Linked DNA regions of Elephas maximus indicus. The protein of the gene in region 1 interacts with the protein of each later gene in a pairwise test. Links are inferred from orthologs where the notes say so. Each region holds a gene or a part of one and is shown on either strand. Other genes may lie near its edges.

What was found.
Region 2: the proteins of BEND7 (region 1) and L3MBTL2 interact in binary tests that used the Homo sapiens proteins (3 or more experiments, as listed by UniProt). The two-hybrid records come from large-scale screens. The link is inferred for Elephas maximus indicus from reciprocal best matches to the Homo sapiens genes BEND7 and L3MBTL2.
Region 3: the proteins of BEND7 (region 1) and NKAPD1 interact in binary tests that used the Homo sapiens proteins (3 or more experiments, as listed by UniProt). The two-hybrid records come from large-scale screens. The link is inferred for Elephas maximus indicus from reciprocal best matches to the Homo sapiens genes BEND7 and NKAPD1.
Region 4: the proteins of BEND7 (region 1) and PSMF1 interact in a two-hybrid assay, tested with the Homo sapiens proteins (2 studies listed by BioGRID and IntAct). The two-hybrid records come from large-scale screens. The link is inferred for Elephas maximus indicus from reciprocal best matches to the Homo sapiens genes BEND7 and PSMF1.

Annotation. Positions count from the first base shown.
Region 1 is NC_064822.1:43,689,707-43,697,422, forward strand, and holds the start of BEND7 (BEN domain-containing protein 7), read left to right. Parts: upstream 1-4,708; 5' UTR 4,709-4,754; intron 4,755-5,067; exon of another isoform or gene 5,068-5,293; intron 5,294-5,450; 5' UTR 5,451-5,608; coding exon 5,609-5,669; intron 5,670-7,716.
Region 2 is NC_064822.1:185,383,715-185,391,711, forward strand, and holds the start of L3MBTL2 (lethal(3)malignant brain tumor-like protein 2), read left to right. Parts: upstream 1-4,996; 5' UTR 4,997-5,061; coding exon 5,062-5,100; intron 5,101-7,984; coding exon 7,985-7,997. UniProt on the Homo sapiens protein: Putative Polycomb group (PcG) protein. PcG proteins maintain the transcriptionally repressive state of genes, probably via a modification of chromatin, rendering it heritably changed in its expressibility.
Region 3 is NC_064825.1:6,799,686-6,806,776, forward strand, and holds the start of NKAPD1 (uncharacterized protein NKAPD1), read right to left. Parts: upstream 3,019-7,091; 5' UTR 2,931-3,018; intron 2,810-2,930; exon of another isoform or gene 2,404-2,809; intron 1,766-2,403; 5' UTR 1,758-1,765; coding exon 1,689-1,757; intron 1-1,688. Other genes in the region: PIH1D2 (PIH1 domain-containing protein 2), read left to right, coding at 4,260-4,436, 5,410-5,533, 5,921-6,166.
Region 4 is NC_064843.1:39,187,785-39,195,625, forward strand, and holds the start of PSMF1 (proteasome inhibitor PI31 subunit), read left to right. Parts: upstream 1-4,832; 5' UTR 4,833-4,982; coding exon 4,983-5,111; intron 5,112-7,841. UniProt on the Homo sapiens protein: Plays an important role in control of proteasome function. Inhibits the hydrolysis of protein and peptide substrates by the 20S proteasome. Also inhibits the activation of the proteasome by the proteasome regulatory proteins PA700 and PA28.

The DNA.
Region 1 (7,716 bases):
AAATAATGTATAAATATTCTTGTGTTCCTATAAGAGAAGTCCCATATAAATATAAGGTAATAGTATTTGTGTAGCATTCCAAAATTCATTCTCACTTATGTAATCTCTGTTATAAATACGTTCTCCCTTCTTTTATGTTACAATCACTAAAAACAATGAAATAAATGAAAGTGGAAAGTTGAGTCAGGCCAACAACAAATTGAGAAATAGGGGTGGAGATGGAGAAGTTGAAGATTTTTACCAACTTCTGCAGTCTGAAATTGGTCATGCAATCAGGATGCATGGTGATTGGAATGCAAAAGTTGGAAACAAAGAAGGATCGGTAGTTGGAAAATATGGCCTTGGTGATAGAAACAGTGCCAGAGATCGCATGATAGACTTTTGCAAGACCAATGACTTCATTGCAAATACCTTTTTTCAACAACACAAATGGTGACTCTACACGTGGACTTCGCGGGTAGGAATATAGAGGAAATCAAATTGACTATATTTGTGGAAAGAGACAATGGAAAAACTGAATATTATCTGGCAGAACAAGGCCAGGGGTGACTTTGGAACAGACCATCAATTGCTCATATGCAAATCCAAGCTGAAGCTGAAGGAAATTAGAATAAGTCCACGAGAGCCAAAGTATGACCTTGAGTATATCCCACCTGAATTTAGTTAGAGACCATCTCAAGAATAGATTTGACAAGTTGAACACTAATGACCAAAGATCAGACGAGTTGTGAAATGACACCAAGGACATCATACGTTAAGAAATCAAGAGATCATTAAAAAGAAGAAAAGACCAAAATGGATGTCAGAAAAGACTCTGAAGCTTGTTCTTGAACATCAAGTAGCTAAAGCGAAAGTAAAAAACGATGAAGTCAAACTCTTCCAGCCTCCTTCCATTACCCAATTCCAAATCAACTTCCACATTGTAGGTATTTGTTAGAGCACCACCCTACTCTTCCAGCACTATGTTCTTAGTTATCTAGTGCTGCTGTAACAGAAATACCACAAATGGGTGGCTTTAACAAACATCTATTTTTTCACAGTTTAGGAGGCTGAAGTCCAAATTCAGTGCGCTGGCTCTAAAGGAAGACTTCTGTCTCTGTCGGCTTTGGAGGAAGGTCCTTGTCTCTTCTGAGCTTCTGCTCCTGGGCAGTCTACATGTGGCTTGGCATCTGTCTTCCCCCTTCTCTGCTTTCTTGCTTAAGCTCCTTTATAACTCAAGAGATTGACTCAAAATACACCCTACATTATTTCTGCCTCATTTACATAGCAAACACAGCCCATTCACAAATGGGATTATAACCACAGGCAGAGGTTAGGATTTACAACACACATTTTGAGGGAACATAACTCGTAATGTAGGGCTGCATATTCTTTCTGTCAGTTGGAGAATGCAAATTAAAAACACAAAGAGATACCACTACACCTGATAGCCCCCTGCAATGGCTAAAATGAAGAAGACTGATAATACCCAGAGTTGGTAAAGATTTAGAAAAACTAGAACTTTCATACACTGCTGATGGGTGTGTAAATAGGTAGAACCACTTAGAAAAACTATTTGACAGTATCTACTAAAGCTTTTTTTAACTAAAGCTTTAGGAGTTCTGGTGGTACCGTGGCTTTGGACATGTCATCAGAAAAGACCAGTCACTAGAAAAGGACATCATGGTTGGTAAAGCCAATATACATCAGATAGGCAATTGTCATAAAATGAAGTTAATATTTATACTTATTAATCTTCTTGAAGGAGTCTCCAAATCTTCATAAAGTAGTACCAATTTAGTGACAGGATTTTCACTTCCAAATGGTTTATAAACCATTCGGAGGTTAATAAAAAGCCTTAAGCCCAATAATACCTTCCTGCTCATCTCCTTCTTTTTGGAGTTTATTAAAGAGGCAATTAAACAATAAGCAGGTTGTAGCCATACCTATATATAAAAAAAAAAATAACATGGCTCAAACCTTCTGCTAAATCTGAGCTACCCAGTGGGGTAGCCATATGTGGCTACTGAGCACCTGAAATGTGGCTAGTCAGAATTGATTTGTCTTAAATACACACTAGATTTTGAAACTTTGTACAACAACAACAACAAGAATGTAAAATATCTCATTAATATTTTTGTATTGATTACATGTTGGGTTTTACTTTTTAAATGCGGCTAAGAGAAAACTCTAAATTACAAATATGGCTTGCATTACATTTCTATTGGGTAGCAGAGCTCTAATTAAAGATGAAAACTTTCATAATGCCATTTCTCTGAGGATAGAGTTTCCAGAAAGAGAGTTTTAAAAATAAGGGTTAAGATTACTTGATGTTTTCTGGGCAAATTACCTGTCTTTGTCAAAGATTAAAACCTGTGTTTAATCTTTAATCAACTGCATTTTAGAATGGTCACGTAGTAGATGTTCCACCTATATGAAGTCATGGAGTATTTATTTAACTAGTTTTTACTGAATTTTAGTAACATGTAAACCTGTACTTCTAAAACTTTTGCAGGCTTTGAACTATCGAAGCAGGGAAATGACCTTAGTAGATCTCCTAGAGGACTTTCCAGGCCACTCTAACACAAAGACTGTATTCAATTAACCAAAAACCGATACTACCACTTAAAGCAATCTCATTTTTAATAAATATCATAATTAATCTTTACTACATGCTCGTTACATGAATATATACGTTGTCATTATATAAAGGAACGGTGATTTGCACAACCAACCCGTTGCTGTCAAGTCAATTCTGACGGAATTCGACAGAGTAGAACTGCCCCATAGCGTTTCCAAGGAGCGCCTGGTGGATTTGAACTGCTGACCTTTTGTTTAGCAGCCAAGCTCTTAACCACTGCAACACCAGGGCTCCAGATCTGCTTAAAGTGGAGAATAATTATTTGTTGATTTTCTCTACATATTGATAGATCAGACCTGGTCTATGGTCTCTGCAAAACAATTCATAGACCATCATTGGAGAGCTAGTAGAAAGGATCAAGGGAAAATGACTATTACTTTAAAATATTTATTCTTAACAATATGTATAAAAAATATTCTCTTCAGTAAATGGAATTCAAATTCCCATTTGAACTGAAAATGCTAAGTTGTTAATATCTTCCCTAGGTATTTGCTTCTTGATATGATGCCTTCAATGATTTTAAGTGTAATAAAATCTCATTTTATGCTAAAAGGCAGGGAAGATCCTAAATGTTCCTCAAGCAGTAGTTCTTAGCCTTGTGGCTTTTGGCATATCTCAAAAAGCATTCCAAAAAAAAAAAAAAAAAAGAAAGGGTCACAGCCTGAGGAACAAAACAGTATGCCTTTTCCTCAAAGAAACAGTCAAAACATCTGATTTTTACTGCTTAGTTTTAAAGAAAGAAAAAAATGGAAGAGAATCAATTAGGGTAGTTATTTAATCCCTGTTCTCACTTTCATCCCTTTTAGTATCTTTTAGGACTCTAGGGGTCTAAAAACTCCCAAAAATCTATGCAAAATTGCATTTGTCTTATATACATTTTCTGGGAAAAGGGCCTGGAGCTTTGGACAGAGGAGAAAATGACCACAAAGGTTAAGAACCTCTTCTTTAGGGGGTTGCTTTAGCAAACTGAATGAATACCTCTCCCTCACTTCCAGGTCAGATGTAACCAGCTTTCTGATTTGCTGTGTACCACCCAAGACCTCAAGATTTGTGCCCAGCTCTGCTTCCACTTTTAGTCTGCTTCCACTACTTGGTTGATTATTCTGTTTCTTGGGTGTGTGTGCATGTAAGTGTGTGTGTTTATGTCAGTTGCCTCCAACTTCCTCCTTCCTCCTCAGTTCTACTCTGTATGTCCCTGATAAGTTAAGAATAGACCCTGAGTGGCTGTCTCCTTATTTAAGTAAGACTGGTGGTGGAACTTGCTACCACATTTATGAACATACCCTTTTCCCTTACTCTGCTCTACCTTTTTGGCACTACCTGAATTTGCCACAGTGCTTCAGGGGTAGTCTACCTATATTTACTTTCTATTTAGGTCTAGAAACAATTACTTAAAGGGGGTCCTTTTAAAGTATGTCAGATCACCTTCCTGTATTGCCCTTCTCAGGTGGTATAAAATTCAATTTAATTCCCTCTCTAAAGATGTTGACAGAAAGAAATGGTGTCTGTAGTGTGCTCTTATCTCCCTAGAGAAGAATATTATATAAAGTTAATAACAAGTTTCTTTTTACATCAATTATTTGGACATTATTACATCAAGTGGCAGTCTCCTGTCCTTGCCTTTACCATTTCTTCCCTAGAGTAGGCAGAGTGATCATGCACCCACTGACGTAGCACCCTTCACCCCCTTCACCCTCTCCAAGCCCCACATTCCAAGTTCTCTCCTTGAATATAACTCCGGATATTCCAACAACCCTTCCTGTATTGGATAAAGAATTGGAGTTTACTCTTTTTCTATACTCTTCCCACTAATAAATTCTAAAACCTCTTCTAGTTTTTTTTTTTTTTTTTTGTAGGGTGCAGATTGGTAAGTTTTTTTCTTAAAACTTGCCTAAAATCTGTGTGTCCGGCCCTTCGGCATTCCATCTCAGGGCTGAGAATAGGTTGGCCAGTGAGGGGCCAAGAAACCTAGGACTGTTTATAAAAAGAATATCGGCCTTAGAGAGCGGCGGAGAAAGACAGCCAAGCTGGGGTCTGAGATCTGAGGCCCCTGAAGAAGCAGCTCCCCGACTTGGCGCTCGGCGCGGCCAGCTCAGGGCAGGGCCCCAACTCCTCAGACCCCAGAGTCGCCTGCGTAAGAAGCCCCCCTCCCGCCGGACAGGGCCGGTCCCCACGGGGAAGCCCGGCTGGGCCCGGGCCGAGGGCGCTGCGCCGCGGCCTCTAGCTTCTCTTAAGGGCGCCGCGCGGCCAGGCCGGTGGGTGGCGGCGGCCCGCGGCCCCCGGGGATGGCGGCGGCCCGGGCGCCGCGGCGAGGGCGGGATCCGCCAGCAGGTGGCCCCGGGGTCCCGGCGGCGCCGCCTCCTCCCCCCCTCCCAGCCCCACCTCCCGTGGGGGCGGTTAGCGCCCGGACCCGGCTCCGCTCCCCGCCGCGGCCGCCCTCCCTCGGCCCGCCCGCCGCGTCCCCGGGGCCGCGCTCGCCTCGGCCGCCGCCGCCGCCACGTCCGGAAGGTTCTGCCCAGGCCGGCCCGCGGCGAGCGCCCCAGGGGCGCCGGCAGGACCAGATCCCGGCCGGCAAGGCGCTCCTCCTCGCTTCACACCCTGTCCCCAACTCGGTCCCCAACGGAAAGTTCAGCTTCGGATACGTTTTTAAAAAGAAAAAAGAAATTAGAAAGGGTAAGGGGGTGTGTGTTTAGGACACGGGGAGGCGGTGAAGAGGAGGGGGCAACTTCTCCCTGGGAAACCGCCTCCTACCGAGACCCGAAAGCTGAAGCACCCGAGTTCGTTCGAGGTGGTTTTTTCCTTTCCTTTCTCCCCCCTCTGCTGATTGAAGAGACGGACCTTGGTCCTGGCCGCTCCCGCTGCTGGGTGACAAGAGCCAGTGCTGCCGCCGCCGTCGCCTCAGCCGCCGCCTCCCCTCTCGCCCTCCCGCCTCCCTCCCGCTCCCTCTCCCCGGCCGCATTCCCTGCCTCCTTCCTCCTTCCCAGCACCATGGAGTTCTCCGAAAGGAAAAGAAGCAGGAAATCCCAAAGCTTCAAACTGGTGAACCGAGGTGAGCGGCGGGCTCGGGGCGGGGGCCGGGGGTCCTGCGGGTCGGCGCCGGCGGCGGGAGAAAGGACTTCGCGCGGCGTAAACATCTCCGCACCGGGCCCCGCGGCCCCTCGCCCTCGGTGGCGGCTTCAACTCCGGGGGCTCGTCTTCCTGGACCCCCAAACTCCCCTCCCAAGCGGAGTGTCGGAGGAGGGGCTGCGGCGGAGGGGGCTGCGGCCGCACAATTCGGGCCGCGAGGAAAGTTGTGCGGGGGGAGGCTGGATATTATTTAACGTAAACAAGTCGCAGGGCATATCAGGAAATTAGCAAACAATGACACTTGGGGAGCAAAGAGCCTTCTTTGGTGTTCCACTCCTGTGGCTAGGTTGAGGGGGTGGGGGAGAGTTGCCTTTGCATCAGGCCGTGCTCCTAAGAATCCGGACGAATGAATTTTATTCCCCCCCAAAGAGAAAGAAAAAAGGTGGTGGTGGTTCTTTTAAGAAGAAGGAAAAAAGCTCATTAGGTGTAGAAGCCCAGATAAGAATTGTTGACATCCAGCATCTTTTCTAGATATGTGATTTGGGTTGGAAAGATATCTTAGAATAGATCACTTACTAGTCAGATAAGTGTCTCACAGAAACAAAAAAAGTCTTCTAGTTTCTGATCATTTAACAGGTGTATAACACACTCTTTGGGCTTGGGTTATTTTATTAGTGGAGAGTAAAGTTGTATAGAGTCATATCTGTCTGTTCAGTTACTTGTTAGAATCTTTATTTTCCTGATTTGACTTTAAAAAAAATGATGAGTACTAAAGATAAAAACAGACGTACGAATATGTCTTTCAAAATGCATTGTGTCTCCTGAAATTAGAGGTAGGTGACTTTTTTCATTGTAATGTCACAAGTTCTAATACTGAGTTTAGAAAAAAATATTGACTTTAGAACCACTGTGTAAATCAACTTGAGGTCCAAACAAAACCACAGACCCATCCCCTTTTTCTCTGGTGTTTTATCCAGCACTGACATCAGAGTAGAGAGCAAAAACGATGGTTTTAACCACCTGGAGAAGTCACATATAAACTGATGAAAATTAGAGGGCTATTGCAAGTAATAGCGTTTTTCAAAGTAAGCTAAACTAACTGATGTGGATTCAGTAAAGGCTACATTCGTTTAGTCTGAAAATGGTTTGATTATAGACATTTTGAAGATCTAATCATATCTCTTTCCCCCAAATTTAGTTTGGACACCTTAATGAAAGAGGCCTAAAATAGTTTTATATATTCAAAATATTTGGCTCCTTCCACCTTCTATATAAAATTTTTTCCAACACTGCTGATTACTCAATTACTTGTACTTTAAAAGTCTCTTTTGTGACTAGCCTGTTGGTGCTATCTGATTCATTCAGGAATGTAGGCTGTTTTTATATTTATGACTTTAGGGAACCTACTACTTTATCTTAAGAGTGAGAGTAGTTTTATAGACGTTGACCTGTGAGGTCTAAGGCCAAAAGGGAAGAGCTGTTATGAAAGAATGTATATTTTCATGCCTAGGTGATTTTTAGAAATAGGAGATTGCCAAAGCACAGCACAGAGAGAGAGAGAGAGAGAAGCTTGTATTGTGTTTTAAAGTTTGACTGACATAGCAAGTTTTTTCTTTTTTTAAATTACGGGTCTGATTCTCTCTGCTCTGCAGGTGCATTTTTTAGAAAATAAACGATTGCATATTAAAGTGCAGTAGCTGAATGCAAAAGCTTCACTTGTGTGAAAGATGAGAATCTTGCTTTCTTACCCAAATTTTTCTATATTTGAAATAACAAATCAGTATCTTTCAGGTGTGCTCACCTTTAAATTGCTTAATGATGGGTTTTTTTTTCTTTTTTTTTTTTTAACTGAGTAAATTGAAAGAGTGCCAGGTACCTCTAAAGCATACTATTGATAGGCCCAAGAAAATGGGTTGTGGAGATAAATTTGGAAACCTCCCCTGGCTTGTAATTGGGTGAGGCTTTTCTTTTCCTTATAAACATACTTGTCATCTGAAATGAAAGAAGGTTAATAATTGGTATCTGTGGGC
Region 2 (7,997 bases), about 140 Mb from region 1:
TTTAGCGGTGGGAGCTAAGCAATAAACAAGTAAACAAAGGAACAACGTAACTTCAGACAAGAACAAGTGCTATGAAGCTGAGATGGGAAATGGGATACAGAGTGAGGCAAGGGAGCCACCACTTCAGATAAGCAGGCCCCTGAGGAGGTGACTTTCAGCTGAGATCTTAAAATGAGCCAGCCCTGAAAAGAGCTGTGGAAACAGTATTCCACACAGATGGAATAGCAAGTACAAAGGCCCTGAGGCAGTCTCAAGCACGGTTCTCAAGAAACGGGAAGAAGGGGAGAGTGGCTGGACATAGTGAAGGGTAGAGAGCGTAGTATAAGAAGATGTCGGATAGAAAGCTAAGACCAAGTCTTTTAGGGTCTTGTGGAAAGTTTGGATTTTATTCAAAATGCAAGAGGCAGCCATTAGAGGGTTTTAAGCAAGAGACTGACATAATCTGATTTATGGTTTTAAAAGATCACCTGGTTGCTGTGTGAATTGAAGGGCAAGATTCAAAACAGGGAGAGCAGTTGGAGGGCTGTTGTAGTGGTCAGGTATTAGATTCAGGTGGTAGGAGTGAAGGGATATAGGATCTGTTTTGGAGGTAGAACGACCAACATTACTTGTTGACAGCATGTTGGGTTTACAGGTGGGGAGAAGGGATTGAAGGGGAAAAAAAAATCAAGGATTTCCTAGAATCAAACAAAAATGAAAGCATAACATATCAAACCTTTGGGACACAGCAAAGGGAGTACTCACAGGGAAATTCATAGCAATAAATGCCTACATTAAAAAAGAAGAAAGATCCAAAATAATTAACTTAAAATGACAACTTAAACAAATAGAAAAGGAAGAGTAAAAGAAACCGAAAAGGAAATAATAAAGATCAGGGCAGAAATAAAGAAAAACAATAGAATCAACAAAACTAGAAGTTGGTTCTTTAAAAGTATCAAAAAAACAGACAAACCACTGGCTGGATTAAAAAAAGTAAAAAATCAAAGGAGGCAAATAACCAAATTAAGAAATGAAACTGGTGACATTACAACCGACCAACAGAGATAAAGAAGATCATTACAGATTTCTATGAAAAATTATACTCCAACAAATTTGAAAACCCACATGAAGTGGACAAATTCCTAGAAACACGCCACCTACTGAAACTAACACAGAGGTAGAAAATTTAGACAGACCCATTACAAAAGAAGAGATTGAAGATGCTATCAAAAAACTGCCAAAAAAAAAAAAAAATCCCAGGACCAGATGGCTACACTGGAGAATTCTACCAAACATTCAGAGAAGAAATGGCACGAATCCTACTCAATCTCTTCAAAAACATAGAAGAAGAAGGAACACTACTGAACTCTGTGAAGCTAGCATAACCCTGATACCTAAACCAGGAAAAGACGTCACAAAAATATATCCACAAGATATTTTTGTGAATATACAAAACTGGATATCCACAAAAATATATTCCTAAATCTGGGGAATATAGATATGAAAGCCATCCTTGATATCTGGCAAAAGAGTTGTAATTCTCCTGGAATCCAGATTTCTGGCTTTCATGTAGGTTGAGATAACCCACACAGGCTACTGCCTTTGGGTGTCCTTTTGAACCTGGGACTTTGATGGTAAATCAGTAATTAGTCTAATTAGTCTTCAAGACAATGCTGTATGAAACACCTAATGTTTGTAATCAAACTGTCACCCCCTTACTATGCAGAAATTTATGTATCTTAAATAAACCAAGTTCTCAGAGAAGATGGACCTCATGGCCCAGACTCCATTTTGTCTTCTGCTTCTGAGAAAGTAACCCATGCTTGTTAATAGGAGGGGCAGCTTGCTCTCAGGAAAAACTGCTTAGAATGTTTTAAATAGATTAACTGGAGACCTCCAGCAGGAGAGGTCCACCCTCTATTGTCTTGATAATCATGTATTCTCTAACGGAAACTTGGTTGTCACATGTAAATTTTTCTGTATCTTCTGTTTTCTCTAGACAAATTTTGTGTGCTCCTTATGGATATATGTTTTTGTGTGGTGGATCCAACTACGCTAGTTTCGATGATCCTTTCCAACTGACGGTGAATTTATATGGTCAATGTCTTGTTTAGATTCCTGGCGAATGCGTGGGCAATGCACTTTGGGAATTTTAGGATTACCTTTAGATATTCATAGTAATGATGCTAGTAAATATTGGAAAAGTGATGTTAAATCGTTACACATTGTAAAACGAGAGTCAGGAGAAAACCCACTTGTCCAACACTCAGGGTAGGGTTGATAGCTTTAGTTCCTACTTACACTATAGTTGAATTGGAGGAAACTTTAAGAAGTTTATCAGTTATCATGGGACCAACAGCAGATGAAGTTGCCAAGTGGAATGGAAGCACAATGGCAGTCTCTGACCTCATTAAGTCACGGTGACATGAGGTAACAGATTAGCTCTTAGATTTTTTATTAGCCCAAGAAAGTGTAGCCTGTGCTGTAGCAAATACCTCTTGTTCCATTTGAATAAATAACACAGAAGTAGAACAGGATATATGTAGACTGGACAACATGCTACTTTGTTACACGTTGTAATGCCCTTATAAACACCACATTTATTTGGTTGTGTTACTGGACCTCCAGGTCTCGCTGGGTGAGACTCAGAGACACAAGTCAGATGAAAGCAAAAGAAGAAAACTTGATTTGGCTGGCCTAGCAAAGGAGCACACTGGGACCTGCATTGCCAAGATGGCTCCTCAGTTGGCAAGCGCAGGGGTCTATATACGGAAAGGAGACAGGGTAGGGGTGGGCTCTTCTTCAGGTGTGTTCAGGGTGTGTCTAGGGGCATGGCCCATCAGGATTAGTGGACAGTCCCTGCATGGCCCATCAGGATTAGTGGACAGTCCCTGTAATGATGCTGAGGTCATCAGATAGTTGATGCACTGGGGCCATCAGTGAGGGACAATGCCAACTGGGCGGAGCTGCCCGCCTCACTTGCCATCCTGCGGTTTCCCACCTCAGTTAGTTACCATCAGGAATAAGTACATGGGTTAGATCACTATTGCAAGAATAATAATATTCTTACTCTGTGTCTTGATAGTATTAGGCATAATAAAATTTACCTTCTATTGTCTTACACACCTAAAAGGCAAAAGAAGGCCTCGGGCTAAAATGTTGGTGTACATTGAATCTGCTCATTTTGGCAATGAGATTGATGAGAACATTGCTCTTCAGATCCTGGTGACGGTATTCAGTGGAAATCCAGCACCATTAATTTAAAGAGCCTCCATCTAAGAATATTGAGTCCAGGTATTGATCATCAATGTATTATCGCCAATCTCTGATCAAAGGAAATGATTTAGGAGATAATATTGGAGCCATTGTTCCCTGTCCTAAAATGTGACCCAGCTGGAGCTGGACTCACAAGGACACATCAACTGGGCCCTGTGGTATAAAGATATTAGCTAGGACAATCTTAGGAAACATCTTTTAGGGAACTTTTCAAATAAACAAACAGTGCGCAAAAGACCCACATACCTTCCACTCTTATCTTTTTTCTATTAGCATTTAGCAAATAATAAGATTTGTTGGATCAGTGAGGGCCCTCCTGTCGTTACTGAAACCTGTACCAACGATTATTAAGAAAGACTATTCAAAACATAGAATCATGGCAATTTGGCAGTTTTTAGCGAATCTGTGAAAAGATGAAGCTTTCAGTGGTTTGGCCCATTTGTAATGTTAATATATACTGATTATAACACTCCTTGGACTCAGACACGCTCTGGAAGCATGTTTGTCTGTTTCCCCACTTTTGCTTATTCTGTAATATTCCTTAGACGGGCAGTCATTGGCGCTGGAACCACGCTTGTCCATTTCCCACTTTTACCTCTTTGAATATGTGCCGAATAAAACCTTTTTGTTTTACTAAACTTTGTGATTTTTTACCCTAGAACATTTAATTTTTTTAATGAAAAACAAAACTTTATTTTAAAAAAAAAGACCACTTTACCTTTTACACAGTGTGTAGAATAAATTGTTGTTTTACATATATCCAGCCTCCACTTACTACATTTAGAGTCTCAATCAGGACACAACGTAGCATCCCAAACCCAAACCTGTTGCGGTTGAGTCGATTCCGAGTCCTAGCGACCGCATAGGGCAGAGTAGAACCGTCCAATCAGGTTTCCAGGGCAGTAATCTTTCAAGAAGCGACCTTCCACATCTTTCTCCCAGCAAAGTGGCTGGTGGGTTCGAACCTCCAACTGACCACCTTTCCGGTTAGCAGCCGACTCTTAACCCCTTTGCCATCAGGGCTCCTTACAGCACGAGATAGGGAAACACTTCATAGTAAATCTTTAATTCTGCCTAACCGTGGAAAGTATCTAAACCTGGAGAGCCTTCGATGCCTCATCTTTGAAACGGTGATTGGATGCCTATGGGATCGAGATGATGCTCTTAAAGCGCCACAACAGCGCCTAGAACTCCCCTTGTGTAGGGGGTTTGTGGGAAATCCAAAAGGGATGAGGCTGCGAGCCTCGGGCTTTATTCAGGAAATGTTGGTGGAAGACGAATGTTGGAGAAATTTGAACACGCGGAGCATTTATGCATTGGGCATGAAATTATTCCAGCTTCTGCCTGAATGGGAAATGAGGAGGGCTGCCAGGCATTCAGCCCAAGAGCACCTCACATTTCTCTCTGGATAGACTGCGAAGTCCCACGGGGTTATCCTCCGCGCCTGACACAGTGCCTGTGTAGGTGCTTAAGAACTGTTTAATGAAGAATAGGGCCAGGCTTGGGGAAAGAGACTGGCGTGGAGTTTAAACAGTCAGCGCCAGTGACCTCAAAGCCGGGGCCGGGCGACGTTCACGTCACTATGGCAACGCCTTTACAGGCGTAACCCTCTGGGGAACTATAAGTCCCACAACCGCCCGCGGCTTCCCCGCCCGCAGTGGGTGGAGGCGCCGAGCGAGCGCGGAACCGGCTTTTCCGCCTTCCTGCAGCGTGATTGGCCCGTTGCTCAGGGAGGCGGCCAATGAGTGCGCTCGGGGCGAGCGGCGAGGCCAATATGGCTTCTTACACCTGGTGACGGTTGAAGAAATGGTGTTAGGGCTCATGGAGAAACCCCGGGGCATCGAGGTGAGAGGGTGAGGGCTTAGCGCCAATGGGCATGGAAACCCCGAGCGCTCCTTCGCCTGGCGAACCCTTCTTTAGGCTTTTTAGCGACGCCTTGAGGGTGGAGGTTGGAAGGATGGATGCACTTAGGCAGCTGGGCTGAGCCAGGGCCGCGAGCGATTGCCCTTGCCTTTTGCTTCCCCGCGGCTGGGCTGGACGTCGGGCGAGTGGTTGAGAAAGGAGTAGCCTCCCTGGCCTAGGAGATGGGGCGTTAGACCCAGGATCGGAGCTCTTCTGAATCTTCTTTGTTCTCCCCGTCTCGTGGTCGTGGTCGTATTCTTTAGGGATTGTGAAACTTGTCACATCGTGGTGTGAAGTGAAGGGAGGCTAAAGGTTAAAGAACGCTTACTCAGTGCCTAGAACGGTCACGTGCATTATCTCCCGGGTATACTCGCAACAATCCAGTGTTACTGTTTCGTTCTTAAGGTTACAGCACCTGAGGCTTACGGAGGCGGTGCGACTCCCCAGGAAGGTCACACAGCTGAACTGTGAAGGAAATCTGTTAGGCATGCAGTCAGGCTCCCAGACTCTACCTGTTATGCTTTTTCCACTCTCCTACAACCTGTAACCCAAACCAAAGCCACTGCCGTCGAGTCGATTCCAACTCATAGAGAGCCTACAGGACAGAGTAGAACTGCCCCATAAAGTTTCCAAGTAGCCCCTGGTGGGTTTGAACTGCCGACCTTTGTTTAGCAGTAACACTTAACCACTACACCACCAGGGTTTCCACCTGTAACCCACCTACCTTTAATCATTTGGCTTCTGGGCACTCTACATTTGAATGCAGTTTTCTACCACATTTACACGTGTAGTTGTAAACAGAAAGTAGAATAGCTCAAAAACGCGACAATGTAGAGGTACTGAAGTGGAGAATAGTAATAGCTCACAGTTTAGTTCTGTTACTGCTGGAAGCAGACCTAGCTTCTACATAATTTATCTCATCCTCACCACAGCCCTCTAAAGAAGGCGTTTTATCTCGCTTGCACTGATGAAGAAACTGAGGGTACCTGTACCCATTGCTGTCAAGTAAATTCCAACTCGTGACCCTACAGACAAGAGTAGAACTGCCCTATGGGTTTTCCAAGGAGCCACTGGTGGATTAGAACTGCCAGTGTTTTGGTGAGCAGCTGCAGCTCTTAAGCACTGTGCTACCAATCCTCCAAAACTGAGGGTAGCAAGGTCAAATATCTTGCACAAAATCACATTTAATAATTGGTAGAGCCGGAACACCCAGGCAAATCTGATTGAGAGCCCATACTTTGAACTGTTCAATTTGTATTTTATTTTCCAGACTTGCTGGAGTTAAAAAGGGTCTTTTCAAAACCAAGGAAACTCTATAAAATTAACCTTGTCAAAATATTTTTTAACATAAAAGGTAATGATAGTTGCCAACATTTATTAAGTGTTTGCTAAGTGCAGGTCACTGTTCTGAGTGCTTTACCTGTATTATTAACTCCTTGTTCTGCAAATCTTATGAAATAGGTTTTATTATCCTCATTTTGCAGACCCCAAAACTGAGAGACTGACTTGCTGCTGGTCATATGGCTAGTAAGCAGCGGTGGTGTTATTGTTGTTGTGTGCTTTCAAGTCAATTCTGACTCATAGTGGCCCCAAGTATTACAGAGAACTGCCCCATGGGGCTTCCTACGGGAGCAGATCACCAGGTCTTTTTTTCCCCAGAGCCTCTGGTGGGTTCGAACCGCTGAACTTTTGGTTAGCAGCTGAGCACTTGAGCACTGGCCCAATGCACGGACTCTTCACCTTGCTGTACCTTTTCTACTAGCTGCTAGGTAGATCCGTCTACAGTATCTCATTACCTCTCAGATACTCCTGAGCCAAATATTTTTCTTATTTTATAGTTGAGAAAACTGAGGCTCGGAGGTTAAGTGACTTGCCCAAGGACCCACAGCTAGTTAGGATCAGAGCTAGATCCAAAACTATGGTACGTACCACTGCGCCATAGCTCTCTGTGTGTCATTTGCCTCCTGCCTCCTCGTGTACAGTCTGGGTCCCCTCACTTAAACTGTATTTGAGCTGAGATTCTTTTGGTGTACCTATGCTGAAGGGGAAGAACGAGTTCCTACTGTATGCCTTCCATCCCAGAGTCTTCAGGAGGCATCTGCCAGAGGGTATTTTCATAGTGTTGTTTTCTATTTGAACTCTGTTAAAATATCATCATTTGTAAATCTACAGAATGAACTCAGTGAATTCCTAACTTGTATTTTCTATCCTGTAATGCACTTCATGGAATCCCTGGTGGCGTAGTGGTTAAGTGCTATGGCTGCTAACCAAAGGGTTGGCAGTTCGAATCCACCAGGTGCTCCTTGGAAACTCTATGGGGCAGTTCTACTCTGTCCTAAAGGGTCGCTATGAGTCGGAATCGACTCGACGGCAATGGGTTTGGTTTGGTTTTTGGGTATAATACACTTCATAGGAGCCCTGGTGCAGTGGTTAAGCACTTGGCTGCTCTCTGAAAGGTTGGCAGTTTAAACCCACCAGCCACTCTGTAGGAGAAAGATGTAGGAATCTGCTTCTGTAAAGATTACAGCATTGGAAATCCTATGGGGCAGTTCTACTCTGTCCTATAGGGTCACTATGAGTCGGAATCGACTTGACGGCAATAGGTTTGTCTTTTTTTTGTTGTTTTTATAAAGCTCTTCTGTTGAGTTGTGGTGGAGAAATATTGTACAAACAAGAGTAATGATCCTGGTGTGTGCGAAAAGGTGCCTAAAAGTGTTGATTTGACAAAGAACTAGGTAGGGGGCTGATAACAAATCCACGGCCTCCCTCCGCATGCACTGAGCCAACTTGGATTCCTCCTGCCTGGTTTGTGTCATTCTTCCACTAGGAGACCCCGTTTT
Region 3 (7,091 bases), on another chromosome or scaffold:
ATGTTTCTAAGATGCTTTATGAAGTTAATCATATCATCTCAAATGAACCTTAAGCAAACTCATCAGGGAAGCAATGCAGGTACCATCATTACATTTTACTGAAAAGAAAGAAAAGCTCAAAGATAATAAATGATTTGACAAAGAAAAAAAACTAGTAATGACATGCCTTTAAACTTTCTAGGCTAAGTTGCTTTTCACAACATTATACTTCTTGTCAAAAGTAAAGTAAAACAAAATAAACAGTATGGTTGCTAGAGAATTCTTGAAAAGCAGACTACTACGAACGCCCAAAGAAAAAGAATACATTTCAATTCTAGGTCCTCCTGCATAATTTTGTAAAACCTGCACTAAATCTTTCTCAGCCAACGCTTTCAACTCTAAGCTCATATAACTAGGGGCGGTTAACAAAATTGCAGAGGTTGCTTGAGTAACAATTATACTCTCACTCACAAAGTATCAGGTGACATGATAGTAATAACATTTATGATCAAACCAAGAGTCATACAGTTCACTGAAGAAAACCAAACAAGGATCCTTGGCCCTAGGTGACCTCCCCAGCGCTCTCCCTAGGTGGCCTCACTACTCTCAAGATCTCTAACATCTATCTGTTGTTATTGTTAGGTGCCATACAGTTGATTTGAACTTGTAACGGCCCCATGTGACAGGGCAGAACTGCCCCATACAGTTTCTTAGGCTGTAACCTTTACAGGAATAAATTGCCAGGTCTTTCTCCCACAGAGGCGCTACCTATTTCCCAAACCATTATGTCCAGTCCCAACTTTTCTCCTTTCCTCTACATCTGAATTTCCAATTGTTTGGACATCGTATAAGCACCCCACAATTAACTAACCAAACTAATTACCTTTCCCATGAGATCTGTCCCTTCTTTTGTTCTCTATCCCAATTAATGGTATCATCATCATCTACCCATTCACATAAGTTGGTTATATCTGATTCTATTCTTATCACGATCATCCAGTCAGTCACCAAGCTCTTCGGATCCTATATCCTAATTCCTCTTCTTCATCCCTACTGTCACTGTTTTCATTCAAACCCACTTTCACCTGGAACACTGCAGTTGCCTCCCAATTGATCTGTCCCCTACCCAGCTGATAAATCATCTTTCTAAAATACAAATATGATCATGTGCTACCCCTGCTTAAAAACATTTGATGGCATTTTTATTGCCTACGGGAAAAAGTCTAATCTCCCAATCCTCACACAGAAGTCTCCCAACAACCTGACTCTAATTTACTACTCAGATCTCATCTTCTGCCGCTGCCCCCCACATTCCCTATTTTCCAGATGCACACAATTTTCTGCCATGCCCCCGGTGCTTTATGTTCTTTCTTTTGGCCATGTTAGTACATGATGTCCCCTCTTTCAAGGATGACTTTTTACACATGGTAGGCTTGTACCGATTCATTCAGACCCTGTTGAAACAACAGCAGCTCAAATGCCACCCCTCTGGAAAATCTTTTCTAATTCCCTAAGGCAGATTTCATTATTCATTATTCCCTCCTCAGTGCTCTAATGCATTTTGTATTATGTCTCTATTATGGTACTTCTCAAACTATTGTAACTACCTATTTTATTCACCTTTGTATGTCCCACCTCTGCCAAAATACTCTTTGACACATTGTATGCCCTTAATAAGTGTTGAAGAATGACTGGGTTGTACCTCCCACCTTATTGTGAGCATCTGTGTGCCGGATGACATTCCTCAGGAGGACCTTCCCCAGTGGAACCCGGGACATTCTTCAATCTGAAATGAATCAATAAGTAACATTTAATAATAATAATGTTTTTCTTTATTACCTTATTTTTTATTAAAATTTTATAAAGAAGCACGAGGTAAAGGAAAGATCACTGATGTAGGAGAAGTCCTGAGGAATAGTTTTTCCTTCACCATTAAAAGAGGAAAATGCCTGACCACATTAATGTGAGGATGAAAGGAGATTATGTTAAAATTCTTTGAGACTGCACAAAATTAAGTGATTTAATGAGCACCATTTCATTTCATCTTCACAATTCTGTCTTATATGAGGCAAGCATCTTCATCCCTATTTCGCAGATGGTGTTCCCTTAAAGCCAAACTTGCCCCAGGCCACACAGTCACATGCAAACAAGGTAAGTCAATGTCCAGACAGAAAACAACTCTCGAATCAGAAGATGTTTGCAATGAAGCAAATACCCAGATTTGAAAGAGTGTCAGTGACCACAAATGTCAACTGTAACAAAAACTAACGCCTAAAAACATGAGGTGCAGAGAGAACCTAAATTTCTCTACTGAGGAGAATTTTACTTCCTGTTTTGTAATGAAGTCTCCAAAAACTAGTTGACAAGGGTATTCCCGCATGTAGCTACCAGGAGCTTTGTACAAGCACCCCGCCGCTCACTCACCCCTCGATCCTGAGGAAATCAGGCGTCTTGTTAGTGTGAGACGAAGAACCACTCCATTACAAGACCTCCTCCGACCCAGGAAGCCAAGGAGTCAGGGCTAAAACACAGCTCTGCAGCTTCACCCGAGTCCTTCGTGCAAACGCAGCCTTCCCACCGGTTACTCCGCCCTCGCCCGCGACCCGGGCCACGGCCGCCTCCCCCAGCCCGGACCGAGGCCGGAGGCTGCGCCGGCGCGGAGTTCCGACGGCCCTGTCGGCTGGGTCATTCCCCGCCCAGGCTCGGCTGAGACGGGCCTGAGGGTGGCTTTCGCTCCGCAGAACGGATGGGGGCGCTCTGGACGGGCACGGCCTTCAGGCTGGGCCCCAGACAGTGTCTAGGGTGTCTGAAGGGAGGTCTGAGGTCTCCCGGCGGAAGACAGAAAACATCCCCATCTTTGTCACCGGATCCCTGCCCCTCTGCGCCTCGGGGCTCCCGTTACCCTTCCCTCCAGACGCCCTCCCGACACAGACACACACACACACCCATACCGTGCGCCGCAGCCTCGCGTGGCGGGCGTCGGGGGAGGAAGCGACCCAAGAGGAAAAGGCGTAGGTTTCCCTTTCAGGCCGGAAGTCGTGCTCCTGAGTAATTCTTCCCGATAACGGGAGACCCAGACTATCCCCCCGGGAGGATTTCCAAGGCGTTCCGGAGATCGACAGGTGCAGAAGGGAGGCGGGCGCTTGCTTGGAAGAGAAGTGGGTCAGGCCCAGCTGAAAAGCAAGCCCAGCCCCGGAACTGGAGGTAAAGAGAACTTCTGCCTGGAGCTTCCCGGACCCAATTAAGCGTTGCACCCAGCCGTTACCCTGGTAACTGGCGTGGCGGTTTGTCAAGGAACAGAGAGAAGAGGTGGGTTCGTTGATCTCTGGAGCAATCGTCCGTTAGTTGAATTTCCTTTTTAGTCTTAGCCTACTACAGTATTTTAAGAATCTAAATCTCCAGTTTTCCTCATTTGATGGATAGTATGGAACACCTCTTCAATGAGAGATTGTTACTCTCGTGTAGCGTTTACCAGGTGTTCCAAATTCATCGTTTATATTGATTTACTTAATCCTCACAATAACCCTGTGAGATAGATGTTGTAGTCTTCGTTTTCAGGAGAATAACCTAAAGGCACGTATATTAATTGCTCAAGGACTCATAGCTAATAAGTGATAAAACTAATAAGATTTCGAAAAAACCAAACCAAACCCAGTGCCGTCGAGTCGATTCCGACTCATAGCGACCCTATAGAACAGAGTAGAACTGCCCCATAGAGTTTCCAAGAAGCGCCTGGTGGATTCGAACTGCTGACCGTTTGGTTAGCAGCTGTAGCACTTAACCACTACACCACCAGGGTTTCCAAAACTAAGAAGCTAGGTATTCTGACTCCAAAGTCCATGCTTTTCACTATTAAGCAATAATAAAGATTGAGGGAATCTCATATAAACCTCACACCACACACACCTTCAGCAATTTCAGAACTGGGGAGGCCTCGATCAGCCAGTACCCAGGGACTGGAACAAGGAGACCACCAGGAAACCAGGCTGAAAATGACTACTCTGCCCTGTGTGTACTCCAGGATCTAGGGAGAGGTACGGTCTTGTTTGAGAGGACAACTTGAAAATTTAGGAAGGGGTGCTAGATAATTAGAGAATACAGAAAAGATGCAATGGTGCCGATCCACAGTCTTTGAGACACAGATGTTCAGACTTCACCAAAACAATTCCTTACCAGTTCCTCCTCCCCCAAAAGAAGAAATGAATCAATAGCCCCAGACTTTTTCCCTCTTAAGTCTTGTCTTTTCATAGGTTTAAGAGGCCCATTCACCATTATCAATCATGGAGGCAGCCTCAAAGGATCTTCTCATCCAAGTTACTCAGTTCTGGAACCTCTTAGATGATCTGGCTGAAAGTGACCCTGAACTCTATGAGAATTTTATTCAACAGCAGCTGAAAGAGGGGAAACAGCTGTGTGCCACCCCAGAACCACAGTTCTGTCTACAGACCAGGATCCTGGTATGTAGAGTTGGTGCCAGGGATGGGGAGGTCCTGAATGAAATACTCCTAGAATAACCAGAGAATAGCTTACTCTTAGCTATTGCTACTTTAACACAAGAAAACTTGAGGAAAACTGTCATCCTAAATAGATAATGAAAAGTGTAGAAGATTAGGTTGAAGGAGTAAATGTGGGAAATTCATATTTAATATATTTTAGCGATCTCAAAATGAACCATTTTTTTCTGCTAGAATAAAAAGAAAGCAATGTAATGATTTAGTAAAGACTCATATAGTTGAAGCTTTTTCAAATAAAGATAACTTATGTGGCTTAAGAGAGCAAATCAAACCCGTTACCGTCAAGTCGATTCAGGCTTATAGTGACCCTATAGGACAGAGAAGGGCTGCCCCATAGAGTTTCCAAGGAGCAGCTGGCAGACTAGAACTACCGACCTTTTGGTTAGCAGCCAAGCTCTTAAACATCGCACCACCAGGGCTCCTTAGGAGGGTGAACCAAAAAACCAAACCAGTTGCCATCAAGTTAATTGCTACTCATAGCAATCCTATAGGAAAGTGTAGAACTTCCCCATAGTGTTTCCAAGGAGCACCTGGTGGATTTGAACTGTTAAATTTTTGGTTAGCAACCATAACACTTAATCACTACGCCACCGGGTGGTGAAATAGTTGTTTAAGCAAATTTACCCAGAACAGCTGCTTAGCCCAATTCCTCCCCTTCCTCCCCCTCCACCCAGTTCCTTCTAAGTACAGCAACTGAATTGTTCCTGAAAAGACAGCAGCTTTGGAGAAATCTAGTAGGAGACTTTATTAAAAAAACAGTTTAAAGTAATGATAGTAAAAATTTTAAACAGTTTTGATACATGGAATGACTTACTTGGAGTCTAAAATTCTCCCCTTCCAATGCTGTGATCAGTTGCCTTTAGGTTATTTAAAAATAAACTAGTTTTTGATATGTGCAAAATTATTTGTTTTCTAGAAACCAAGAGAAAAAACACTTTTCATCAACCTTTATCAGTGGAAAAAGATCCCAGCTCCCCAATCAATCACTCATCCAGTACCTATAAGTGTTGGCAGGCCAGAAGATATTTCTGAGACATCAGGTATATAGAATTATGGGAGAGAAAGCATATTTAAAAAATTTTTTACTGGTAATAAACATGGATCAGATTTTGCTGGGTAAAAGATATTTCAAGTAAAATTTTATTTGGTGACGAGATAGTTAATGACAAGTTAGTGTACCTTTATGCAAATTAATACTTTTTAATTTTTCTAACAATATGAGCTATGGTTAACCATATAAAAATACCAAGAAATGGATAAGTTGGAATTTTGTGTATATAGCACCATTATGACTGCTTCTGAAAAAATGCAGGGATGACATTTATACTTTGTCTTTATCAGGGTTATGGTTTACTACATATTACCTGACAGTAACATTAGTGAAACAAAGTGGTCTTCATTTCATACCCTCTGAATTACACATGCAGGTGTTTACACAGTCATCGATGTTGCCTACAATCCTGATGTTCTCCAGGTGGCAGAAAAAGACCAAGTGAAAAAGGACCAGTTGATCCGGATGGCTATGAAATGCATTGAGGAGCAACTCCAGTCCACTCTCTCACAATCCTACCGAATTACAAAACTTAAAACAAAAGGAAGCATTCACAGGATGAAACAAAGTCTGATGGGAATCCAAAATGACTCCCCTGATTTAAGAGAGAAATTGAGAAAGGGTAGGTCGATGAATGGAAAAGAAAAATTAAACTTATTTAAGATTTTTGCATCCTGTGTCCATTTTGCAAACTAGAAATCTCGATTTTAAAAAATTAGAAACTTAAGACAGGAAAATATGAAGATTAGATACTGAAAATATTAGAATATCCTAAAAATTTTTCAGAATCCTGCAGACTTATAAACCAAATTATTTGGTTTTAGATTCTTTTGGCTTAAGGTTCCCAAATTATTATGGAGTACTGAGTCTCGGTTTATGGTGTTGAAAAAATCTCATTGATTAAGGGTAGGGCTGCACAGCTGATTAATGTAATTGCTGCCAATAAGTTGTACACCTGTAAAAAGTTGGCTTAGCAAAAGTTGTGTGATATATTTACAACGACAAAAAAAAAAGTAGCTGCTGAGGCTGCTTATGTACAACTAAACACCTCATGGGATTTGGTTCCTTGGTTTGGAGGTTTAGGGTCATCGTTTCGTGGGACATCCCAGTCAATTGGCCTAATAATGTGTTTAGTGGTTCTGTTCTACCTCCTAGTTCCTAGTCCCTAGTTCCTAGTGCTTGGGGTCTTAAAAGTTTGCAAGCTGCTATCCAAGGCCTAACAATTTGTCTCTGTTCACCTGGGGCAACAGAGAAAGAAGGAGAGTCAGGAATCGGTTGGGAAAATGGATGTGTGGCTAATTGCCTCAATGAAAAGCTGCCTCCTTTGCCCTGAGAGGAAATCCTGGTGGTATAGCGGTTAAGAGCTACAGCTACTAACCAAAAGGCTGGCAGTTTGAATCCATCAGGTACTCCTGGGAAACTCTATGAGGCAGTTTCCTGTAGGGTCGCTGTGAGTCAGAATCGACTTGATGGCAACAGGTTTTGGTTGCCTTGAGACCAGAACTGGATGGTGCCCAGCTGCCATTACTGAACATTTTGATCAAAAA
Region 4 (7,841 bases), on another chromosome or scaffold:
CCACTTCTTTCTTCCATCTCTTGCTGCCCTCCATTTTCGGAGGCAAGTTTCACATTACTGGTCCATGCCTGGTCACTCGCAGAACAGTTTACATGTATTAAAAGAAAAGCAAGATGGACCAGGGCCCCAAACTCTAAAGCAGCCATTTTACTTTAGTCAAATGCCTCAGTTTACTTGCTCTTAGTCAGTGATCACATAACTGTGTGCACATTTGTCAAAACAAATAGAATTGCACACTGAAACTGAGGAGCCATACTATGTGTAAATTATACCTTCATTTTAAAAACGAAAAAAGAATGAATCAGGGAAATAACAATTTTTACTGATTACAGTGTGATTGTTACTGAAAATTTTGTCCTACAGATGAGGAAGGTGTTAAAAAGTTTTCTGTTGCAGGTATCAAATACGCTAGTACCCATCTGACAAGCGGAGTGGGAAGTCTTGGGTATCCGTTAGCCAACTGGAGGTACCAAAGAATATTCTTAGTTGTGGAGGGCTTCCTGAGGGAGGCTAGGTGGCCTGGCTGATGCTAGGCCAAAGGAAAAAAAGGATTCCAGTGGCGAATGACTCCACCTTGGTCCCCATCTGGGCCCTACCCCTCAACTCACCTCTTTACTGTTTCCAGGGAGACAGGGAGCTTGGAATATCCACATTGCAGTCACTTAGCAACCAGGAACTGGTGGTTGTAGCCACCTGCCAAGCTCTTTCCATCATCCTGAGCCCTCATCTTGGGCATGGGTTCTGCACTGCCCAGGTAGCAGGGGCCCAGCAGGGGAGGCACCTTCCACCTGCTTCCCTTCTCAACCACTTGCAAACCCAACAGGGCCAACTGAGACTCTTGCTGAGGGAGGTAAGTCCACAGAAAGTGCTGGGTGGACCAGGGGCAAAACACAGACAACCTCCAGCACCAGGGGAGCCCCCCATTTGCTCCTATCCCTAGAGGACCTTGGGATCCAGGGTGGAGGGAACACAGTCCTGACCCTCAGAGGACTCACAGCCTAGCGCATGAGACAGAGCTTACCTCATTCTCTCAATACACAGGTGCTAATGCTACTCCAGAATGGCTGCTGGGTCACAGACTAGGCTAAGGAATGGCTTATCCTTAGCGGGGGCACACCAGACACCGTGTGCCCCGCTCATCCTTCAGTATTCACCTCTAAGCACCAATGGCCGCTTTCTGTAAACTCTCCAACTCTCTACCTGAGGGATTTCTCTGCTCCCAGAAGCAGTCCTCAACTGGGGGCAGACAGGAAGGGAGTGAAAACACACCCCAGTTTCCTCACCCTCAGTTCGGATACTTCTGAGACTGTTCCATACTGCCTCCCAGAGTTCCCCAGCAGGACTGAGCTTTAGTTGCCCATAATGGTAAGTGGCTTGATTAATACCCTCTATTTTTTTTTCATTGGTTGCCTTCTTTCCTTATCTCACTTCCCTACTCCCCTATTGCTATTTCCAGAAATCTGTTCCCAATAAGCCACTTGCACTCAAATCCTGTCTCAGCATTGGCTTCTGAGGGAATCCAAACTAAGACAGGGATAATGATGTATAATAGGGAACCAAAGTTCTGTGAGGTGCCTGCCCCAACCAATTATATGCAAAGCAGCAGTGGTCCCAGGGATGGGGTTTGGGGGGCTGTCTGCCCACTGCAGGCAATGAGAGGGAGCTTTGTCTGTAAAAAACTTAAAAGCAGTAATAAAGCTGACCAAACGGTCTACTTGTTATTATCACCCTGGGCCAGCAATTCTAAACAATTTTTTGTGATTAAATTCTCCTCCTCACTGAGGCAGATAACTCTCACTGACCTCTGCCCGCCCCTTAGCACCCACCCCGAGGCAAAGTGTACTCAGCCAGTAATTCGTAGTAGGCAGAGAAGGTAAGGGAAGGCCTCACTAGGAGGCAGCACTGACCTCTAATCTCACCATTCTAGCTGCATTTCACAACTCTAGGCCTTTGCATATGCTATTCTCTCTTACTAGAACACCTTTTGTTCTTCAGTTTACTCCCAGAGCAGGCAATGAAGGGGAGCATTGTCAGTAAAACACGTAAAAGCAGTAATAAAACTGACCAAACGTAGGTCTGCTTTTTGTTGTTGTTAGGCCAAAGGTTCAAGGAAGCCAGGCATCTCTTCCTCCAAGAAGCCCATTCCTCATCCCCAGAAGTTAGATCTCTCCTCTGGGCTTGCACAGACCCCTGTGTGCCCATCTGTCAAGGCAGTTGTCACGCTAGCTACCTTCGTCATTTCTTACCACTAGATCGTCAGCTCCATAGGAGCAGGGACTCTGTCTTGTTCATCTTGACCTGGCTCCCAGTAGGCACTCAGGAACAGGGCTGCCACTGGGTGTGTACATTTTTTGCAGTATATAGCCTGCACCACTGTCCATGGCAACCCAGCCTCTGGAGGCTTGTTGACTTAATGAATGAACGAATCTGTGGGAATTTGCCGTTTCTGGGGAAGGACACTGCAGGCAGAAGGGAGTGCGCAAAAACAGGGAAGCCTGAGAGTGCAGGGCTTCTTGGTGGAAAGAGCAGATAGCTTTATGCCACAGATAGTACGTATCAGGGAGAGGTTCTGGGACACCACCCTCAGCATCACCCAGAGTGTGGTCAACATACCTGCACCCCACCTCAGAGCTGCTTGGCCAGAATCTTTGCAGATGGGGTTTGAGAACCTGGGCATCCCAGGGTAATCTCAGGAACATAAAGTTTGGAGAGGCACAGGGCCAGCTGATTGGTGGACTGTGAAAGGGTGAGACTGGCCTGATTTGGTTGAGCTCAGGATATGAATTCATTCATTCATTATCCACTCATTCATTTAATAAGCATGTATTGAGCCGTATTGAGCCCAGAAGACCCTCAAGTACAGCTGTGAACAAGACAAACATGGTTCCTGCTCCCTTGTCATGGTCTAGTGGGAAGACAGTCACTAAATAAGCAAGCAAATAAATGAATACCTAATAGTGTCAGGTTATGATTAATACTTTGCAGAAAAGAAAACAAGGTAAGGGGTTAAAGAGTAGAGGAAGTTATTTTCAATGAGGTGGTCAGAGAAGATGTCTGAGGCTGGTGGGTGAGGGAAGGAGTCATTTAAATGAAGAAGCAAATCATGCAGATGTTTGGGGGAAAAGCAGTGCAGACAGAGAGAGCAGTACATGCAAAGGCCTAGAGAACTAAACATGTGGAAGAACATACACAGTAGGAAGCTACTGCAACAGTCCAGGTGTGAAATGCTGGAGAATCAGACCAGGGTGGAGGCAGTGGAGTTGGTGGGAAGTGGCCAGACTCAGAATATATTTTGAGGGTAGAGATGACTTGCTTCGCTGTTAGATCAGATGTGGGTGTGACAGAAGGGAAGGGAGGCAAGGCTATTGCAGCCAGGAGCGCAGGGGTTGAGGAGATAGTTGAAGGAGATGAGGTCCAAGAGGGAAGTGGCTGGGAGCAGACCATACGTAGGTCCCTGCAGACCATGAGGAGGTCTTTACTTTTCCTTTGAATGTTATGGAACTTTGAGAGGCTTTTGAGCAGAGAGGGGACATGATCTTGAGTTCTAACAGACTCTTTCAGGCTGTGGAGAAGATAACAGACTGTAGGGGGTCAGGGATGGAGGAGGGCACTTCAGAGGCTGATGCAGTCATCCAGTGAGAGATGATGGTGGCTTAGACCAGGGTGCTGACTGGAAGGGAAATCTAAATTTATTTTAATAAAAACTGTAAGAGGATTTCAAGAAAATTATTGAGTAAATAATGGTGGTGAAAATCATGAAGGTGGTAGAGAAATGATTGAAATTTGAGAAGCTCCGGTAGTGAATCAAAGGTCCCTGGGTGGTATAAACTGCTAGCTCGACTGCTAACTGAAAGGCTGGCTGTTGGAACCTACTCAGCGCGGCTGGGAAAGAAAGGTTTGGCGGTCTGCTTCCGTAAAGGTTACAGCCAAGAAAACTCTAAGAAGCAGTTCTACAGTGTAACACATGGGGTCGCCATGAGTAGGTATGACTCCAGCGTAGTCATAGGACAGGTAGTAGTAGCAGCAGGTAGTGGATCAGGATAGAGGTCAGCAGTTGTGCTCTTTGGGGGAAGGGGCTTCAAATCTTTGAGTAGTTTTGTCATCTGCAAAACGGGGACAATAATGGAACATATCTCATAGAGTTGTTGAGAGGATGACGTAAAGGTTTTTGGCACAGGATCTAGCACACAACATACGCTTACTAAACGCTATCCTAGGAGCCAGACTGCTGTCTCTCCCACTCACTGAAGGGCCGTGTCACCCTAGTCAAATCACCGCTCCGTGGGTATCACTAACACCAATATCGTAGGCTTGGGTCATAAAGATTAAATAAATGAACACAAGTGAGGCATTTAGAATACGGCACGCAGCAAGCACTTCTTAACTGTCAACTATTATCATGACTATATTTTAGGCATATTTCCTTACCTCATTGATTAACAGCTCGGCTGCTAACCAAAAGGTCGGCAGTTAACCCACCGGCCGCAACGCTCCTTGGAGAAACCCTACGAGGTAATTCTACTCTGTCCTATGAGTCGCTATCAGTCAACTCGTCGGCAACAGGTTTGTTTTTTTTGTCAGTTTCTCCCTTTTGCGGATGAAAAGTCTGTGGCTCTTTGTAAAGGATTCTCATCACACGGACCCAACGCCCTGAGAGTAACGATCCAGTCCGCTGCGGGCGAGATGGGGATTCCAGTTTTGAAGGGCCGCGCCTCCAGCCGCCAGCCCAGTCCGGAGGTCGCCGGAGGAACCTTAAAGCGTGGCGCTCTAGTTTCCAGCCGGGACCGCGCAAGGGCGCCCGCGCGACGACGTACTTCCGACGGCCCCGCCCCTTCCCCGGACAGCTCCATTTTGGCCGTAGGTGGAGATTGAGCTAGAGCGAGCGGAGCAGAGAAGTGTGGAGTCGTCTGTTTTCGGAGTGCTGCTCCGGCTCACCACACTCTCGCCCTTCTTTCTCCCGCCCGCAGAAGCTGCGGGCAACCATGGCGGGCTTGGAGGTGCTGTTCGCGTCGGCGGCGCCGGCCATCACCTGCGCGCAGGACGCGCTCGTCTGCTTCCTGCACTGGGAAGTGGTGACGCACGGCTACTACGGCCTGGGTGCCGGCGACCAGGTACGATGCGGAGCCTGGGGGGAGGGAGGTGCTGTCTTCTTCTCAGACCCAGAGGACCGGAGGCCGGTCCAGAGCGCCTGCTGTCCCCGCCCTCAAGTCCGAGGCCTGGGGCTCAGGACACCGTTGGCATAGCCTGCGGTTCACGGAAGTGCCCACCTGCCCCAGCCCACGCCGGAGCACCTCACAGCACAGCTGGCACAACATGCTTTGTAAACTCAAGGACAGAAGCTCCCATCAGCACAGCCTGGCAGTCTCCCCAGGCCACGGTTGTGTGGACCTGGCACCGGGACTGGCTGTTGCTCCCTGAGCACAGCTCACCTACCTGAACTTCGCCCAGCTTCTTACCATACAAGCTTAGGGGAGCAGAATCTGCACACATACACCCTCATACTGTTCTCGAGCCTCCAACAGACACCCAGATCCGCGCACGGGTATGGAGATCAGAGCTTTGACCTTAACACAGCCCCAGCCCAGAATCTCGTCTTCATTCCTCAGCGTGGGTCCGGGGAGCTCCCCTGCTCTTCACTGAACGGCCTAGTTCAGACCTCACCGCTGAGTGCACACATACACCGTGGGTGTGAGGGCCAGGTAATGTTCCCTCCCCAGAGCTGTCCTACAGGGCCGGCCACTCTTGTTGCCCACTGACCCTCTGCCCACCCCAGCGCTAAGTCTGCCTGTCCTCTGGGAGATGGGTGTTTGGATTGCATACCGACTCTAGTGTATTTTTGCTCCGCTCCGTCTCGTGGGATGGTATCTACTTTTTCTTCTTAAGTGGCATGGAGGCTCAGGTTACACTTGTCCTCTACGGACTTCTGCTGAGTCTGCTTTCATTCACAGTAGAAGTTACTTGGAGAGGCGTCTTCTCTGTTAGTTTATTTAAGAGGGGGTTTAATTTTCTGGGTTGGGGCCAGCAGACTGCTCAGAGGGCCAGTGTTTGCCAAGCTCAGAGCATGTTTGTGTTCCCTCTTCAGATACCTCCTGCTCCCCACCCTTGTGGGGGCGATAAGAGAGGGGAAGGTCCTGAGAGAGTGTGTGTGACTGTATCATTTCTTGATAATTAAATAGAAAGCTAAGTGGTCTACTTTTTTGTTTGGTTTTGTCTACTCTGGTACAAGTTGTGTACACAAAACTTAATTAGTAGAGCAGCGCAGCCATTGCTTCAACAAAAGTCCAGTATTGGAATTTCTCACTTGAAGTCAGCACCTCATAAGAGCTTTATTAGCAGTGTCAAGTGGTTTAAGTGGCAGGGGATAGAGATTTATAGACTTAAATTAGGGAATTTTATTTTCTGTTATGGGAATGTAAAGATTATGATGAAAGAGGGAAAATGCCTCCATGTGCATTGCTTTGGGTGCATTCGGCCCGGAGGCGCTGGACTGAACCCATTGCCACTGATAACTGGTTCCAGCCCCCAGGATTTTGCCAAAGGGGACACTACCGTTACTCTCTTTGGGCCAGCCTGGTGGACCTGGCAGGGAATAGCTCCCCTCCAGACTTAGCCTAGTCAGCCAGAAGCTCTGAATTCCAAAGCCAGATGCACCTCACTTGCTGTGACCTTGGACAATTCTCAGCCTTAGATTTTTCATCCCAGGGAGTTAAACTACATGACCATGCACTTTGGCTACTTTCCAACCTTCGCATTCTGGGAGGTCTGATATTTGATGTCAGGGCCTAGAGGGTGGTTAAATGCTGTGTTTGGCTAGATATCTCCAGAGCCATTCCCTCTCAGTTGCACCTGTTTCCCCGTGTTGGGGCAGCCCAGGCCGGAACATGGGTTCCAGTGTAGTGAGAGGTTATCAGCCTCTCCCAGCCTCAGGATTATCTCTTCCTCTGGAAGCCAGAGGTGATGGGGTGGTGAGCAGACCAAATTATCTATATTTCAAGAGAGAGTTCTGGTGGATTGAGTGATGTACGTGTGAAGATGTAATATAAACCAAAGGGCCCTCGACAGAACAAAGACAAACCATGTTATTAAATTTCTGGGTCCCAGAGTAAACCCTGAATCTCCAACAGTAAACATGTTACCGGGGCCCTGGTGGCACAGTAATTAAGAGCTTGGATGCTAACCAAAAGGTCGGCAGTTCAAATCTACCAGCCACTCCTTGGAAACCCTATGGGGCAATTCTGCTCTGTCCTGTAGGGTCGCTCTGAGTCGGAATCGACACCACCGCAACTGACAACAACGAACATGTTACAGGAAGTCTGCTGAGGGGGTGGGGCGGGTGTCGACTTTCTCCCTTCGCTGAGGGGTTTGGTAAGTTTCCCTTTGGTTTTGTGGCTCTCATTTCTGTACCTCAGGCCTGCGAGTTTCCTTGTCGTCCAGCCAGATTTTAAACCCTGCCGGCTGTGACTGCCTAATGCTTCGCGCAGTGAGTCCCTGAGCACCAGGGGTGCCCAAGAGGAGAAACTCGAAGTTCGCGTTTCCTGCCCTCCCGTGGCCCTTGGCCTGTGGCATAAGGCCTGGCTTTGCTGGCCCTTGGCTTTTCCCTTCGTCCTTTATCTCTGATGCCACTCTACCCCCCGCCCATGGACACCCGTACATGGACACAGGTCTCCCCAGGTCCGCTGCTCCGTGTCTAGCTATATAAATGTCCATCCCTGAAAAAAATACGTAGTCTGTTCTGTGTTTGTTGTTTTATACAGATGATGCTAGGCTGTCAACCTTGATTTTTCTGAACTTGTCTGTAAATTATATATTTTACCTTTACCTACAACGGTACACAGATAGAT